Linked DNA regions of Danio rerio. The protein of the gene in region 1 purifies or fractionates together with the protein of each later gene. This does not show direct contact. Links are inferred from orthologs where the notes say so. Each region holds a gene or a part of one and is shown on either strand. Other genes may lie near its edges. The genes, in order: mkln1 and maea.

What was found.
Region 2: the proteins of mkln1 (region 1) and maea purify together in Homo sapiens (affinity purification with western blotting; 3 studies listed by BioGRID and IntAct, with this or other methods). This does not show direct contact. The link is inferred for Danio rerio from reciprocal best matches to the Homo sapiens genes MKLN1 and MAEA.

What each region holds. Positions count from the first base shown.
Region 1 is NC_133179.1:12,276,683-12,280,513, reverse strand, and holds part of mkln1 (muskelin), read right to left. Parts: intron 3,516-3,831; coding exon 3,323-3,515; intron 328-3,322; coding exon 250-327; intron 113-249; coding exon 47-112; intron 1-46. UniProt on the Homo sapiens protein: Component of the CTLH E3 ubiquitin-protein ligase complex that selectively accepts ubiquitin from UBE2H and mediates ubiquitination and subsequent proteasomal degradation of the transcription factor HBP1.
Region 2 is NC_133189.1:25,445,383-25,449,770, forward strand, and holds the start of maea (E3 ubiquitin-protein transferase MAEA), read right to left. Parts: upstream 2,934-4,388; 5' UTR 2,852-2,933; coding exon 2,783-2,851; exon of another isoform or gene 2,221-2,782; coding exon of another isoform or gene 2,179-2,220; intron 1-2,178.

The DNA.
Region 1 (3,831 bases):
ACCCAATCAGAAAGTTTGCAAATGAGCAGCGTGATGTAAAACGTACCTGTCTGAACATCAATGACCATTTGATGACCTCCTCTCATGCCCGGCCTGTTATCATCACCATCGCCTAATCAGAAAGTTAAAAACAAAAAAAACAATAAGAAGTGGTGCGTGTCAGGAAGAAGTCGGTAAGTCATTAATACAGCAGCAGACTTCCTGGAGTCCAGTGTCCAGATTCAGTGCCACAGCGGACTGCTGTCGTACCTTTGTTACATTTGGGGATGATCTGACTCCAGCGTGGCTTATAATCCTGCTGGCTGATGTACTGATTAAACAAACCATCTGGAAGAGAGCAGATAAAGAGTCAAGTGTGCACGTTAATTTGCTAATGCATGCTCCCTGAGCGGAAAACAATCCGAGTGTACATTAGGTTCTAATTACCGCAAATTTACACTGTGACCACTCAAGAGAGTGTGTATAAATATGATCTACTGAGAACAACTTTAAACATGAAGTGTGTAAAAACTTTTCTCAGCTCACATATTATTAAAACAAGATTTATAACAGTATTGACGACACTTATTCCAAAGTCCTATTGACCGTATTCTTAACGTATGAGCGTACGGCAGCCATTGGAATCTTTGCTCCAGACTTCCGCTCTTATTCGCTTTCATTGATTTTGAGACTTTTAAAACAACTTGTTATGCTGTTTGATTTAGAAACACTGATGTTTTCTTATTATATTATTCCACTTTTTATGTATAGTCATGAAAACATTTGATTGTAGAGCAAGTATTTTGACCATTTTATTTATTATTCCCATAGGCGACTGAATCAGAAGTTCTGAAACAACTGTAAAAAGGAAAGCACTTCTGCATTGTAGAATAAGGTTAATAACATGAATAATTTGTAAATAAGTCAAAATATGACCTTAAGTCCGCTGCGTAAAACATTTGCTGTATAAGTTGGCAGTTCATTCCGCTGTGGAGACCCCTGATAGATAAAGGGACTAAGCCGAAAAGAAAACGAACCAACCAACCAACGAACAAACGTTACACATTGGTCCATAGAGTGCAAAACTGTCTAACAAATAAGAAAATTATATTTTACACTTTTTCTGATATTGATTTTATGATTGTATAACTACCAAAAACTCATCTTTTATGAATTTCAGCCCTTCAAATTAGTTTGTTTACATAATGTCAAAAACATGAAGCAAAAACTCATCCATACCAACACACCCACATAATTACAATTACGTAATATTAATTCACTTGGCCTGCAATATTCAAATGCAGCCAACATGCAAAATTTATTGCACAGGCAAAACCTGAAGAAATATAGCTAAATATGATAAATTCTGCATTTAAAAAAGCTTAATCTAATACCAACAAATTAGAGAACTGTTAGTAAAGAGTGTATGACTCTTTGTTTGACACCGAGATGTAATACTTCCATTTTAATGGATTTCAACTGGGACATTTTTTTTTGTCATGAACTTCCTCAGAGGAACTATTGTGCGGTTTCTCAATATGCGTTCTTCAGCAATCTTGTGTCCTCATGTAATGTCATCATCCACCATTAAAGGTCAGTTCCAAAACTCACAACTACAAGAACGAAGGACGCATGAAAGTTCCAGGATGCTTCTTTGGTATCGAGGATGCACCGATGCAAACTTGAGCACCGAACTCATTCTAGAAGTCCCAGAAGTCATTGCGACGAGAGGTGGGAAAGCGCAGCATTTTATATAGATTTATTATTAGAATTTAGAGATAAAACTAATTTATCTCAGGAGTTTCACTAAATAAGATGGTGAAAGTAAACATAACCATGAAAATCTTAATAAAGACAACCACATTAAGGGTGTTTATTTGCTAAAGTTCATATTAAAAACTGATGTATTTGTATTGTGCAATGTATATTTGTTAGGGTTTCGTGCATGTTATACTTATTGAAAAGAGGGAAAACAAAAAATCCTTGTATATATGCTGTAATATTTAAATAAGTTTCTGTTAAAAATGCTTGTAGGTCATGTGACCATCAGGAAGAACGCATCGTCTTATTTCTCACAGGACGCGGTTTGTGTTCTCGTGGTCTTCCCAGTTCGTTCTTTTGAGGTAACCTAGCAAGACTGGTCTTCACAAGAGCGCAAGTCCGTTCTCTGCATTCTTGGAATTGAGAAACAGCCCGTGTTTTTTCCACTTTGTATACCTAGCATTAAAATAGATTTACATAGGGTGAAATACTACACATTTACAACAATTTTGCCAAAATAGGATGTTTGATTAAAACGAAAAAGTCTGAAATAATGGGTCAAATAACATCCAGACATCTTTTAAAAGCCTCCATAAAGGGGTTTTGTGAACACGCATTCTGTAAGTTTAACTGAAGCCAGCTCTAATGTGAAGAGATGCATACTGACATATGACCAACACTACGATTCTCAGTGGTGTTGGTGTGAAACCACCGACAGGTCTGCAGGTTTGAGGGAAATCCTTTAAATAACTGCATGTTGGTGGTTTTTGTTGGTGACTGTTTGTTTCTATATGACTCACAAGGTTAAAAATAAATATTACTTGTATTGAAAATGCATGAGTGCTTATTTTAAATGGTCCCCTTTAGTCAAAACAACAGACCAACATTAGTTTAAGTGGGAGTTTTTGAAAACAGTAAAAAAGGTCACTATTATTCATATAGTGAGAGTATGAGGAAGTACAAATGTGAGTCAGGTTACAATTATGACTTACAATTACAATTATGACTTAGGTTACAAATATGACTTACATTTCATTGAAGGCACACATTTTTTCGGATCTTGGTATCACTGGAAATCAAACCCTTGCTCTACTATTTCATTAATATTTAAAGTACATTCTGCTGTTCCCCAATGCTATGAATTGAGTTTTTCTGCCATCATCTAAAGCAGTGGTCTCAAACTCAATTCCTGGAGGGCCACAGCACTGCAGTTTAGCTCCAACCGCCTCCAACACACACCTGCTTGCTAGTCTCTAGTAGTCTTGAACACCTTGATTAGTTGGGTCAGCTGTGTTTGATTAGGGTTGGAGGAAAACTGTGCAGAGCTGCAGCTGAATCGAGTTTGAGACCTATGATCTAAACACTTTACATCACAAATACAGCTCTAACATTGACTGAACCTGACCTTCTGTGCAGAGATCATCTATATTTGACATTAAACGTCAACAAGGATGTACTTGCTCACCACGTAACACGATTACAATCCAGAACCATTCTGTTCCCTACAGTGAACCAACATGCCCACATTCCCTACTTAATGAATATGGCGCAGATCCATATGATGAAACCGTGGGTGAGGTACCTCTCACGGCCTTATCTATCAGCTCCTCGCAGGCGTCAAAGTCTCCTCTGAGAACCAGCCGCTCGTGTAGGTGCGTAAGCATGGGGTGCTCCAGAGCGATCCGTGTTTTCTTCTGCAGGGATTCGAAGGCTTCTGTGTAGTTGTGCTGCCGGAAGTGTTTCAGGCACAAGCGGATGGCCTCTTGTTCACGGTACTGTTCAGGAAAGAGGAAAAACGAAAACACTTTAGTTGTAATGTGCCTTCAATTCATGTTTAACATTGTGTGAAACTGCCTGTGCAAACGGGATATGAGGGTTATAAAAACATGAATGTTTTCCTAACTGGAACAGGTTGGCGCATTAAAAAACTGTTAATGATTATGACGTGCACAGACAATGACGCAGTTTTCTGTTAGTGTGAAAGAAATTAAATATTTAATACTTTAATTTTCATGCTGTATGACTAATAATTGTTTAACGGTACATAAATCTTTGAAATGAACACATTATAGACTGCAGAATGTGGACTTT
Region 2 (4,388 bases), on another chromosome or scaffold:
ATGCAAATGTCAACTTTGCTATGAAAAAAAAAAAAATTTCCAACAAAGTTTTCAACAAAGTAGCGAAACTGTTTCTAGGTTTTTTTGTGTAAGCAAGTATTTTACAGCACTTTATAAATACTCAAAAATGCCTCTGTCAATGTTTTCAAACCATTAGATTTGGTTTACCAAAGTCACACAAGTGGCAATTTCACATCTGTCACATCCATAACAGAGAAATGTAACATCCATAACGAAGTTTTTTCCTCATTAATGGAAATGTCAAATAAAATAAAACCAATCTTGTTTGTTCTATAGTGAGCTAACAATAGTAAGCTATAGTGAGCTGTTCTATAGTTATCCTTTTGATTAGCATTCTTTATTTTGGGTTGTGCACTTTAATTCATAGAATTTTTACCAAGTATGTTGTATACTATAAACTTGGATACTTTTTGGTCACGTACATAACGCATGTTTACTTCTCTCATTTAAAATATTAAAAATGTTTAAAGATTAATATTTTCGGATGACTTGACTTTGTGGTTAGTTGTTCTAGGAAATATAAACTAATGTTTCAATATAATGTTAACATATTCTTTCTCTGTGAGTTTTTGCTTTGAATTTTTACTACAAATGTCACATTCATAACGCTGGAATTGCTCTTTACCCAAAAAGTGGTACGGTCTGCTTTTTTGGTTCCTTAGACAGTGAAATGGGCCAAAAAAAAAGTACGATACTCTACCACACCATACCATAGGATTGTCACGATTCTAGAATTTGGTACCAATTTGTACAGAAATAAAAAAAAAAAGTCCATTTCCCGCAAACATTTGAGCGCTGTTGAGCACAGCGCTGATTCGCCATTGTGTTCACATGCTCAAAAGAAACGACTGTGATTGGCCGTGAAGGTCATTAGTTCACCAAATTCATTGCTGTTTACTTAGTGTAATAATCACAGTTTTTTCTGTTGAGTTAGTGAATACAATGGCAAATCAGCAGTGTTTAAGAATGTGCTCAACAGTGCACAAATGTTTGCAGGAAATTGATGTTTTTAAAATTTCAGTATCGATTGGTACCGAATTCCAGTATCATGACAACCCTATACCATATGGCTCAGGGCAGGCCACAAGACATTTATAATGAAATCTGAGAGCTCTTTCTACAGACTGCAACAGACCTGAGACATTCAAAGTTCAAAAAAAAGGAACCAAAACATTTTCGAAACATTCCATCTAACTTCAGTCAGAATGTGAATGTTGCCATCTATGGAGGATGAGGGAGCTCTCAGATATCCTCTAAAAATCTTAAACTGTGTTCTGGAGACAAAATAAAGGAAATTGTAAATGACATAAGGGTGAGAATTTAATAACAAAATGTAATTTTTGAGTAAACTAGCCCTGTAATGCTGGTTGCTATTCACTGCCAATTACTTTTTTTAAAGAAGAGGAAATGATATCAGGGTTATACATATTCATAGGTAGTTCGTTTTTAGGTGAACTCTTTAAGACATCTGTTTATTTCATTATTAGGCAGCAACCACCATTCATTTGTGACATACACTAGTAAAAATTAAATGTCATAAAAGGAATGTATTCCTTTTCGATTGTACACCATTATATAATTTGTAAATATGAACAAATATCAATTGTAATGATTCATCTACCTCTAAAACATTACACCAACCAGTCTCTTTTATGAAAGAGCTGTTCCACATATTTTCATTACACTTCCTCAACCAATGTGGCTTCTGGTTCTGCACCAAAATAGCGACTGGTATATATGGTTAGATCATGATGCAATGATCAAGAATGTACTGGAAATCATTCCCAATGCTGCAAGACAAGCTTAGATGCAACATGCCCTTGACACAGCAGTGAAGACCATATATTATTGACATTCAGTGTGCGTTTACATAAACAGGCGTCAAATTACATGAGATCCATGAACTAATCACGTCACAAAGCACTCAATGCATCATCAATCAGTCAAAAGAACCGGTTAACGTGAGGATTCATCCATAACGACGCTATCAATCGTGAAAAAAACCTCTGACGCAGAGAACAAAGGTGCTGTATCCCACCCATTACCGTAAATAATAAGCTCCTCATCGACAATCTACACCTGGTTGTTAAGCCCGCAAACGACCAACACAACATGATACAATGTGATCCTAATATGGTGCATAAATCGCATGCATACCGATCTCTGGTCACCATTGGCATGTGTATATCCCTCCAGCATTCATCTAAAGCCACGGAAAATCATAGCTTTAGATGACAGCCGCCAAATAGCAATCAAACGCACACATGAGACTGAACAGCAGTCGATTATGAAGCATCAGTACATCCGATATTATTCGTGTCACTCACTATCCAACCTCGCTAATGATTATCGTCAATCTGCCTTGAACTGCATTGCTCGCTGGTTACACTAGTGGACAAACCTGTGATGGGATAAAACAGCGTCTATTAACACAACACTGTCGGAACGCAAGAATGACATGGGCCAGACTGACATTAATCGACTCATTTACCCCTTTAACACAGCTGTCGACGCAATTTATAACTGAACATGCGATGTCACTGCTGGAATATTTGCGATCACTCCGGTTAGATCGGTTTGTGTGGGACTTGTTTTGCTAAGTTATCTAGCCCCAGAGCTAACCAGTTAACTGTCTAAATGCAGACACAGTTTTAATTTGATGGATAATCTCAGTTTGATGCCCTGTTATTGAGGTCAAACAACGCACACGGAATCTGTTTAGTTGCGTGATTAGATTATGGAGAGGAAACGCTTGACAGACCTTTAAAGTTGGGTATTCTTGCACCTTTAGGGCCATAGAGAGTTGAGCTGCTGTCTCTTGCACCGCCATCTTGCTTTGGGGAAACTGTGGAGCGTTTGTTCGTCTTCTTCCCGGATTTGGTCTTCGCCGCGGCAGCGAGGTTAGAACTGTTTGTTACCGCCTCCTAGTGTGGCGGTGAATGCTTGTGTTTTTAGGATCAAAAAGATAATTCAGCCAAAAATAAAAATGTACCCATTATTTAAGGCACAGCTGTCAAAATCAGTTTGTGGATCGCCTCAGCTGCACAGATAGAGGTAAAGTTGGTTTTATATTCGGATATTCAGACATTCTCCTGAATAATATAATTCCAGAAAAATATTATTTGAAAATTGTAAATAGCGAAATCATATTAGCAGTAAATGATCGTTAAAGTACAACATTGTTCACAGTGAATTACATAGTGTTAATGTTGTTTAGAAGTCATACTTGCATGCTAATTCCGATCGAATATTCAAAGTAACATGGTAAACAAGAAAGAGACTTCTAAATGAACGAATATGCGAATATAAAACCAACTTTACCTCTATTCTGCACAGTTAACGTTAAGTTCCAACAGTTCAGCAAAGGTAGCAACAGATTCACAGATTCGTTGCTAACTTTACTGAACTAGTTCCAACCCTAATGGACTCCTTTTAAAAGACATTTAACTTAAGGGTCATTGTTTAACACGTTTAGCAGTCATCATAAACTTAAATCCCTGAAAGTTTTTAATATTTAGATTTTTAAAAAACACGTAAACATTTATATGCATTTATGAATGTATTAGATCAACTTTGCGTCAAATTACATTAAAACCAATTACCTCTAAAGCGAGGTGTTTGTAGCGTCTGTAGGGCTTAGAGTAAATTTGATGTTATTGTCTCCTCTGGCTGCCATCATCAGTCTCACACAATTTTTTCCCCCTATTTCTGAAAGTCGTGATAACACCACCATGGAGTTTTTTATATTTCAGCAAATAGGATTGTAAAAGATGTTTTTGTTGTACTCTCCCATTCACTGCGCTCTAAGTTTACCCAACCATGATGCCTTCCACTACTGAGAAAGCCAGAAGTGTGAAAAGGGTCTATTAAACACACATGATCAAACTAACCGAGTCCTTCAGGCTTGTTTGAAATCTACAGGTAACAGTCACACTAGAGTTTGAGCATGTGAAATCCTGTTATATGTCGCTGCAAGAGGGGCGGGATTAAACAAGATGATTATACATTAAAAAAAAAAAAACAAGTGATAGGTCCATGTTTTAAATTCCTGTCCGAAGAGGTCATTTTTGGATTTTCGATCTCACGCAATTATGTGATGCGATTTTGTACTCCAAGTTTGATCTTTTCAACGCAGCAATCTGCGTTTTCAATGTGACGCATTCTTGTGCGTATGAATGGATGTCTATAGGGAGAAAAGTGCAGTGTGATCGCAACTTAAGTATGTTGGAGTTGGGTTGGAACCAATGGTGTAGTCAGGGCTATACGCATGTATACTCCATATGCTTACTTTTTTACCACTGTTTGGGTATTACGACTTTAAAGGATCAATAATTGCGTATACCCTCGATATACTCACTTTTTTTGGT